Linked DNA regions of Macaca mulatta. The protein of the gene in region 1 purifies or fractionates together with the protein of each later gene. This does not show direct contact. Links are inferred from orthologs where the notes say so. Each region holds a gene or a part of one and is shown on either strand. Other genes may lie near its edges. The genes, in order: CDK7 and GTF2H4.

Region 1 (3,809 bases):
CATAAACTGTATTTTGTACCTTGAATTTCAGAGCTACAAGAAACATTACTTTTCTAGTTGTATTTTGGCATTGTATGAGTTAGTCCAAGACAATCACTATAACTGTATTTTTCCCCCCACAACATTGTAGCGCAAGGAATACTGAACTTAAAGCCAAAAGACTTATTTTCTTTTTTGTTTTTTTGAGACAGGGTTTCACTCCTGTCACCCAGGCTAGAGTGCAGTGGTGAGGTCTCAGCTCACTGCAACCCCCGCCTCCTGGGCTCAGGTGATTCCCCAACCTCAGCCTCCTGAGCAGCTGGGACTACAGGTGTGCACCACCACACCCACCTAATTTCTGTATGAGTTTTCACTATATTGCCCAGGCTGGTCTAGAACTCCCGGGCTCGAGATATCTGCTTGCCTCGGCCTCCCAAAGTGCTGGGAACACAGAAGTGAGTCACTGCGCCTGGGCCAAAACCCATGTTTTAATACTCTGTCTGTTATCAGCAGCTAACCTTGAAAAAAAAAATAACCATGGCCAGGTCACTTAGCAACTTAGCTCTTTGTCTATTATAAAATGAGGGGGCCAGGGCCGGGGCTGGGCGTGGTGGCTCATGCTTGTAATCTGGCACTTTGGGAGGCCGAGGCAGGCAGATCACGAGGTCATGAGATCAAGACCATCCTGGCTAACACGGTGAAACCCCATCTCTACTAAAAATACAAAAAAAAAAAAAAATTGCCAGGCTTGGTGGCGAGCGCCTGTAGTCCCAGCTACTCAGGAGGCTGAGGCAGGAGAATGGTGTGAACCCCAGGAAGTGGAGCTTGCAGTGAGCCGAGATTATGCCACTGCACTCCAGCCTGGGCGACAGAGCAAGACTCCGTCTCAAAAAAAAAAAAAAAAAAGAAAAAAAAAATGAGGGGGCTGGGCACAGTGGCTCACGCCTGTAATCCCAGCACTTTGGGAGGCCGAGGCGGGCAGATCACGAGTTCAGGAGATTGAGACCATCCTGCCTAACATAGTGAAACCCCATCACTACTAAAAAAATACAAAAAATTAGCTGGGCATGGTAGTAGGCGCCTGTGGTCCCAGCTACTCGGGAGGCTGAGGCCGGAGAATGGCGTGAATCCAGGAGACGGAGCTTGCAGTGAGCCAAGATGGTGCCACTACACTCCATCCTGGGTGACAGAACAAGATTCCATCTCAAAAAAAAAAAAAAAAAAAGAAAGACTGGATCTCTTCTAGTTCTAAATTTCACATAGTAATATGGAGTCCTCACAGCACCAACTGCTGGAACAACTGAAGAGAACAATATATAGGTAAAAGATGGGATAAAACGGTCAGCTATAAATTCATATTGTTAAACAATTTACATGTTCAGGCCATTATGTACTAAATTGGCTCTATAAAACTTGACTGCTATAAAGAAGCAATATTAAAAACCTTACCCTATGTAGGATCCAATGTTGATGTAAATATTCTAATCCTTGAAGAGTCATCAACATGTAGGCTTTGATGTGTGATGGTGTCAGCACAAGACTATTATCCTTTATTATAACCTGTAAAGCAAGTATACAATATACGGGTACCCTTTATTATTTCAAATAAACTCTACCATATAAAACAATTTATAGACTTAAAATATAAGTATCAATACAGGAGACTCTCAAGAGAGGTTATCTAAGTTTCCTCAGGAAGCACTGTCAGAATCTCCAGAGTTAGATGGGTAGGGAGAGCATTTCTGGTTTGGAAAGAAAGCAGTACTTTGTCCTCTACTGCTTTCGCATGAAAGTAGCAAACACCTGTTGTTTTTGCTTGCATCTTCTAAATGCTTCTAACAATAGCATTTAGTGTTCCTTTGGGAAGCCATCTCTTCTCAGCTTAGTCCACATGGTTAAGGTAGGACTGAGCCAACCTAAGGCCTCCAGAGGTAGGCACATGACCCAGGCATCCCCATTATCACACTGCAGTCTCCTGGCCAAGTGACTGGTTCAGGGATACAAGACAAGTGTGCTAGAATCAAAGAAAAGAAAGCACTTTCATTCCTCAGGTATTATTAAACTCTACAAACATATACCTAGAAGTATCTGGAACACCATATTGAGAACTGTACACATGAAGAAGGCAACAGAGAAGAAAACAGAGCTGAGTTAAAGTGTAAGACTGAGTTTTGATGGCATTATTTGTGAGCTGTGCCTAATGTCAGTTTATTTCTAGATTTATCAGTTAGGAACTAAAAGTTCCCCTTTTCTTTTTTTAAAATCAGATTTAAGGTAAAGCATACCCTTTTTAGTGTATAGTTCCATGCGTTTTGACAAATGCATCCAGTCATGTAACCACCACTATAATCAAAGCATAGTTCCGTAACCTCCCAAAATTCCCTGAGGCCCCTCTGTACTTACTTCTTTCCTTTACCCCAAAGTTCCCATAACCACTGATCTGGTTTCTGGTTCCTTTTGTTTTGCCTTTTCCAGAATATCATATAAATGAAATGATTCAATACATAGTCTTTTTAGCCTGGCTTCTTTCACTTAGCATAACGCATTTCAGATTCATCTATGTTGTTGCAGTTATCAATAGTTTGTTTCTATACCTGAGTAGTATTTCAGTTTGTTTGTACAGTCAGAATGAGGGATGTTTGGATTGTTCCAGTTTTGACAATTATTAATAAAGCCCAACATCTGTGTACCAACTGAATTCTGGCTTTTTTTTTTTTTTGAGATGGGAGTCTCACTCTGTCACCCAGGATGGAGTGCAGTGGCACAATTTCGGCTCACTGCAACCTCCACCTCCCAGGTTCAATTGATTCTCCTGCCTCAGCCTCCCAAGTAGCTGGGATTACAGGCACCTGCCACCACGCCCAGCTAATTTTTTTTTTTTTATTTTTAGTACAGATGGGGTTTCGCTATGCTGGACGGGTTGGTCTCAAACTCTTGACCTCTGGTGATCTGCCTGCCTCAGCCTCCCAAAGTGCTGGGATTATAGGTGTGAGCCACTGTGCCCGGCCTCTTTCTTTTAGATAAATACCTAGCAGAGGTATTGCTAGATCACAAGATTATTGATTAGTATTATCAATCACAATATTAGTGATGCTATTATAGATCATAATACTAACGGTACTGATGCTGGAAGGACCTATCACAATAGGCTATGGACTCAATCACCACCAGTCTGAGCATTTAGTGTGTTCCTATTACTTTCTGATAATGTGTTGTGTGAAATCTTTTTTTGCTTTAATTTGGCTGGTGTGTATTTAATTGTATAAGAAACTGCCAAGCTGTTTCCAAAGTGGCTTTATCATTTCACTGCTTTCGCACCAGCAGTGTATAAGAATTCCAGCTGTTGGGGCTGGGCATGCTGGCTTACGCCTGTAATCCCAGCACTTTGGGAGGCTGAGGCAGGTGGATCATGAGGTGAGGAATTCAAGATCAGCCTGGCCAATATGGTGAAACTCCGTATCTACTAAAAACACAAAAATTATCCAGGCATGGTGGCAGGCACCTGTAATCCCAGCTACTCGGGAGGCTGAGGCAGAAGAATCGCTTGAACCCGGGAGGTGGAGGTGGCAGTGAGCTGAGATCGTGCCACGGCAACAGAGCGAGACTCCGTCCCCCAAAAAAGAAAGAAAGAAAAGAAAAAGAATTCCAGCTGTTCCAGTCATGCGAGGTGGCTCACGCCTGTAATCCCAGCACTTTGGGAGGCTGAGGCAGGCAGATCACCTGAGGTCAGGAGTTCAAGACCAGCCTGGTCAACATGGCGAAACCCTGTCTCTATTAAAAATACAAAAATTATCCAGGCATGGTGGCAGGCACCTGTAACCCCAGCTACT
Region 2 (4,246 bases), on another chromosome or scaffold:
CCTCACCTGTGTAGGCATACAGTCGGTAATTGGTTTCCACCACAATGAAGCCTGGCTGATGCACAGTGCCCCCAGCTCCAGAGACACCTGACGAGAGATTGATGGCCAGGCGCGTGGGGTAGTAACGCCGAGATTTCCTCTGGAAAGGATAGAAAGGCAGATGCCTTGTCTCAGAATTCACTGCCTTACATCTTCCTGCCTGAAATATCAGATCCCTCCCAAGATGCAGAACCTCAACCTCCAACTTCTCTCCCCCAAGAGACCCAAGTATTCAGTTCTGGCAACTGCTTCCTGCTACTTCCCCGGGACCCCACTCCTTTTTAAAGGCGAAGGCAACACACCACCCTGTTTCTTCCCTGGAAGCCACTCATCTAGGCGCTCATACCTTCCTCTGGAAAACAAGCCCAAACTCACGCAGATGTTGCAGGAAGTTCAACAGAGAATCACTCATACCTTCCACAGAGTAATCCTGAGGAACAGAGGTTTCCAGCTGGGGTCCAAAACACAACCCACCCACCCCCAACCCCATCATTCATTCTGTCTTTCTCCATCCACCTCTGCTCGTTCTGTGTTCATTCTTATCTTCTCACTCTACTGCCCCACAATTTGCTTTTTCCTTCCCATCTCTATACCCTTCAGCCCCCTGCTTACCTTGCCCAGAGTAGAGAAGCTGAGCTGGAAGAGGAAGGAGAGAATCTCTACTAGGTCCATGCCCCGGCTCTAGGGAGAAAGAGGCAGAGACAAAGGAGGAGGGATGGGAGGGAGACAATGGGAAGAAAGGGACAGAGAAGAGAAAATCAGGGAACAGTCTGTAGGCAGGAATCTCTCAGTGAGACCTGAGAGGAGCAGAGCATGCTGGCAAGTGGCCCCGGCGTCCTCACCTGGGCTGTCTGCAAATACTGCAACATAAAGTACCAGAGCTGAGCCGGCGTGTCCAGCAACAGGAACTGGAAGCCAGCGGAAGTAATGCAGGGCGGCTCTCCAGGTTCAGTACTACAGACAAAGACCGGGACAATGACGGTGATATGCAGAGAAAGACTACTACCCCCACTTGTCCGCTCACATTTTTTCTTTGTATCTCTGGCTGTATTCTACTCAGCTTGCCTTTTCCAGCTAATGTCCTCTGAGCTTGACTAGCCGCAGATACCATTTCTTAGGGACCCAAGGAGATGGCACTGCAGAGAGCTGCTATACCTCCGGTTTCCTCACCTCTTCATGAGCCCAGCCTGGCTGAGGAGCTGAGCCAAGTCCTGGCTGACAGCTGCACTGGGGGAGCCCACCATGAAGTGCAAGACCACCTGAAGAACAGAAGAGAACAGGGAGACCATGCCCCAAGGGCCATGGGAAGTAGAAGCACAAGCAGAGACACACACAGTCCCAAGTGCTTACCTCCCATCGCTCCTCGGCATACTTGTCAAGGGAGGGAACATCCCGGGCATGCTTGTCTGGTCCCAGCTGACTTGTGTCATCAGACCAGGCCTTCCCCCTAAGGCCAGGATGGGCCAAGAGTAAGGAACCCTGGCCAGGAGCTCACACCTGTAATCCCTGTACTTTGGGAGGCCAAGATGGGCGGATCACTTGAGGTCAGGAGTTTGAGACCAGACTGGCCAACATGGTGAAACCCCATCTCTACAAAAAATACAAAAAATTAGCTGGTGGTTGCCTGTAATCCCAGTCACTCAGGAGGCTGAGGCAGGAGAATCACTTGAACCCAGGAGGTGGAGGCTGCATTGAGCCAAGATCGCACCACTGCACTCTGCCTGGGTGACAGAGCGAGACTCTGTCTCAAAAACACACAAAACAAAACAACAAAAAAAGAGTAAGGAACCCTGTCTGTGTTCCTTGCCACCCTTCTGCCATCTTTCCACCCTTATCCTCAGGGGCCATGAGTGGGGGACATTTCCTACACCACACACTGCAGCTGATCCAACTTACTCCTAAAGGAGCTCCCAACGTGGAGACCACAAGGTTCCGGGGAGGCCCCCAGGAGCTCCCCCTCCCAAACTGTAATTAGCGGTTTAATAAGCAGCAGTTCCCCTGCCCTAGCTTAGGAAGAGAGAGAAGTGACATACCCACCCAGAAGGGCAATGCGGAGGTTCTGGCGGAAAATGGGGTTGAGGATGAGGCCCTGGAGCCCGCCTGGGAGCAGCTGGGTGTGCCAGATCCGGAGGCCGCTCAGCAGCCCTGTACTTTCCTCCTGAGCCCTGGAACAGAAGCAGAGAGGTGAGCAGGGTATTTGGAGAACAAAAAGGAGGACCATAAAAGCCACCTCTCTGCCTGTTCTGAACTTGCTGATCCTTGGAACACTGTTCCACAGAGTGATATTAGTATCTGAAGACAAATTCTTTACTGCATTACCTATCAGAGCCTTATTACAGATATCACACATAACTCTGTAAGAGGGAAGATACATCTGAAAGCAAGAGGTCAGCTGGGAAATAAATAAAAGGGAAAAGGCAGTATGCAGAGTTTCCCAAATGTATTTATTTTTAAGTTTTGTGATATACCTATTAATACGTCCTGGAAGTGCTCCAAGGAACAGTAGTTTGGGAAATGTAGCTGTTGAGAAATTTGTATCTGGCTGAGACTTACTTGCTGAATTCCTTCTTTACCCACAGGGCTACAGCAGCTTGTGGCAAAGGCTGCTCCAGAAAGAGCATCCGCATCACCCAGTTCTTAGCCAAGGATGGGAGCTCCCTGAACAGGGACAGAGGTCAAAGGTTAATATCAGAAGCTGCATTGTATCTGCATCTCTGCCCTCAATTAACTCTCAAACATCTCATCTCACTCCACCACAACTTTACCAGTCCTGCTGTTTTGGCCCCCACACTTTGGAGCAATTTCCAAGCCGCACCCCGAGTCCCCACCCCTACCCCAGCCTGCTACACTTTTATCTGTTATATTTTATTCCAGTCCGCAGACCCCATTACATTTCCCTGCCATGAAGGGGATCCTCACCTGAAGACAGCCAGACAAGTGGCAGGGTGCCCATATAATCGGTCCAATACCCCAGGGCTCAGGCCCCCTAAGAATTCCTGCAGATTCCTGCATTGTAGGTGTACTCGGTTCAGTCCCCTTGAAGGGGTGCTCTCCATCACCTGAGGAATGCAGACATCAGAAGCGCACCCCCACCATCCATGCCAGTGTCACCCCTGACCTTTCTGATTCCAGATCCATGAGTCCCCACAATAACCCCACCTTTTCTGTGGCCTCCTTTCCCATGACACTCAATTCCTCTGGTTTCTCAAAAACCTGACCAATCTCCATCCCTTTCTTGCCTCCTCACCCTGTTTCTGCCCTTCAACTCCAGTCTTTCCTCTGCTCCAAGTGACAGAATTGTCAACTGTCCTGTGTTTGCAAGATCATTTTGTATTTCAATGACTTGTCTCATCTTCGGCTAAACAGAGACAAAGAAAATTGAGCCCACACCTCTCTCTTCCATCCCTCCTGGTCAGATCAGTCTATAAGCTCCAAATCTACCCGAACTTCCTATCTTCTATCTCTTAGCCCACTTCTGCTAAGTACGGCGGTAACCTCTCCCCTCCATGCTTCCCAAATCTAAAGCCACCTCTTTTCCCTTCCCAAGTCTAGTTCACCCCATTCACCCTGACCCACGCCTTCCGATCTCCTAGCTTCTCCCTGCCTTCCTCCCACTCCTCGCCTCTCACTCACCTGTCTCTCTCATACCTCTCCCACTCCCGCCCTCCTAGGTCCCCTCACCACTCTGTCGATCCTCCTCGCGCACCCCGAGTCTCGGGCCGTCGCTTAATCGGAGCCAAAGTCTCGCATTGGCTCCTGGAAACTGAGGGAAAGATGGTGAAAAAATGCGAAGAAAAGATGGGGAAAGCGACGAAAGATTTCACAGGCAAGAGCCCAGAATGGAGAATTCAGAAGAGAAGGGAGGTAAGGGGAGGAGTGGAAAAGTGAAGAGGATTAGAATAGACGATGCACACTCCCGGCGCGGGGGATGCTGGGAATTGGAGTCTTGTCTTTGCTCTCCTTAGAGCCGGCTGAAGTGCGTCTGACTACAAATCCCGAAAGGCACGGTGGGGAAGCCGAAAGGCAAGGAGCCGGCTTTTAATTGAGAGAGCGGGAGACACCAGAAGCCGGACCAGTTGGTTCTGCCAGAACCAACTCCGCCCACGCTGCTAACGGCGCATGTAACCCGATGGAGCGGGAGGCGGGTCGGGGAAAGTAGAAGTGCCTGGAGGGCTTCCGTGCGGAGGCGCGCTGTGGCGACTTGGTG

What was found.
Region 2: the proteins of CDK7 (region 1) and GTF2H4 purify together in Homo sapiens (affinity purification with mass spectrometry; 7 studies listed by BioGRID and IntAct, with this or other methods). This does not show direct contact. The link is inferred for Macaca mulatta from reciprocal best matches to the Homo sapiens genes CDK7 and GTF2H4.

What each region holds. Positions count from the first base shown.
Region 1 is NC_133411.1:77,322,199-77,326,007, reverse strand, and holds part of CDK7 (cyclin-dependent kinase 7), read right to left. Parts: intron 1,540-3,809; coding exon 1,429-1,539; intron 1-1,428. UniProt on the Homo sapiens protein: Serine/threonine kinase involved in cell cycle control and in RNA polymerase II-mediated RNA transcription. Cyclin-dependent kinases (CDKs) are activated by the binding to a cyclin and mediate the progression through the cell cycle.
Region 2 is NC_133409.1:152,144,045-152,148,290, forward strand, and holds the start of GTF2H4 (general transcription factor IIH subunit 4), read right to left. Parts: upstream 3,096-4,246; coding exon 2,959-3,095; intron 2,698-2,958; coding exon 2,593-2,697; intron 2,205-2,592; coding exon 2,073-2,204; intron 1,487-2,072; coding exon 1,390-1,486; intron 1,299-1,389; coding exon 1,210-1,298; intron 994-1,209; coding exon 882-993; intron 721-881; coding exon 652-720; intron 470-651; coding exon 386-469; intron 140-385; coding exon 7-139; intron 1-6. UniProt on the Homo sapiens protein: Component of the general transcription and DNA repair factor IIH (TFIIH) core complex, which is involved in general and transcription-coupled nucleotide excision repair (NER) of damaged DNA and, when complexed to CAK, in RNA transcription by RNA polymerase II.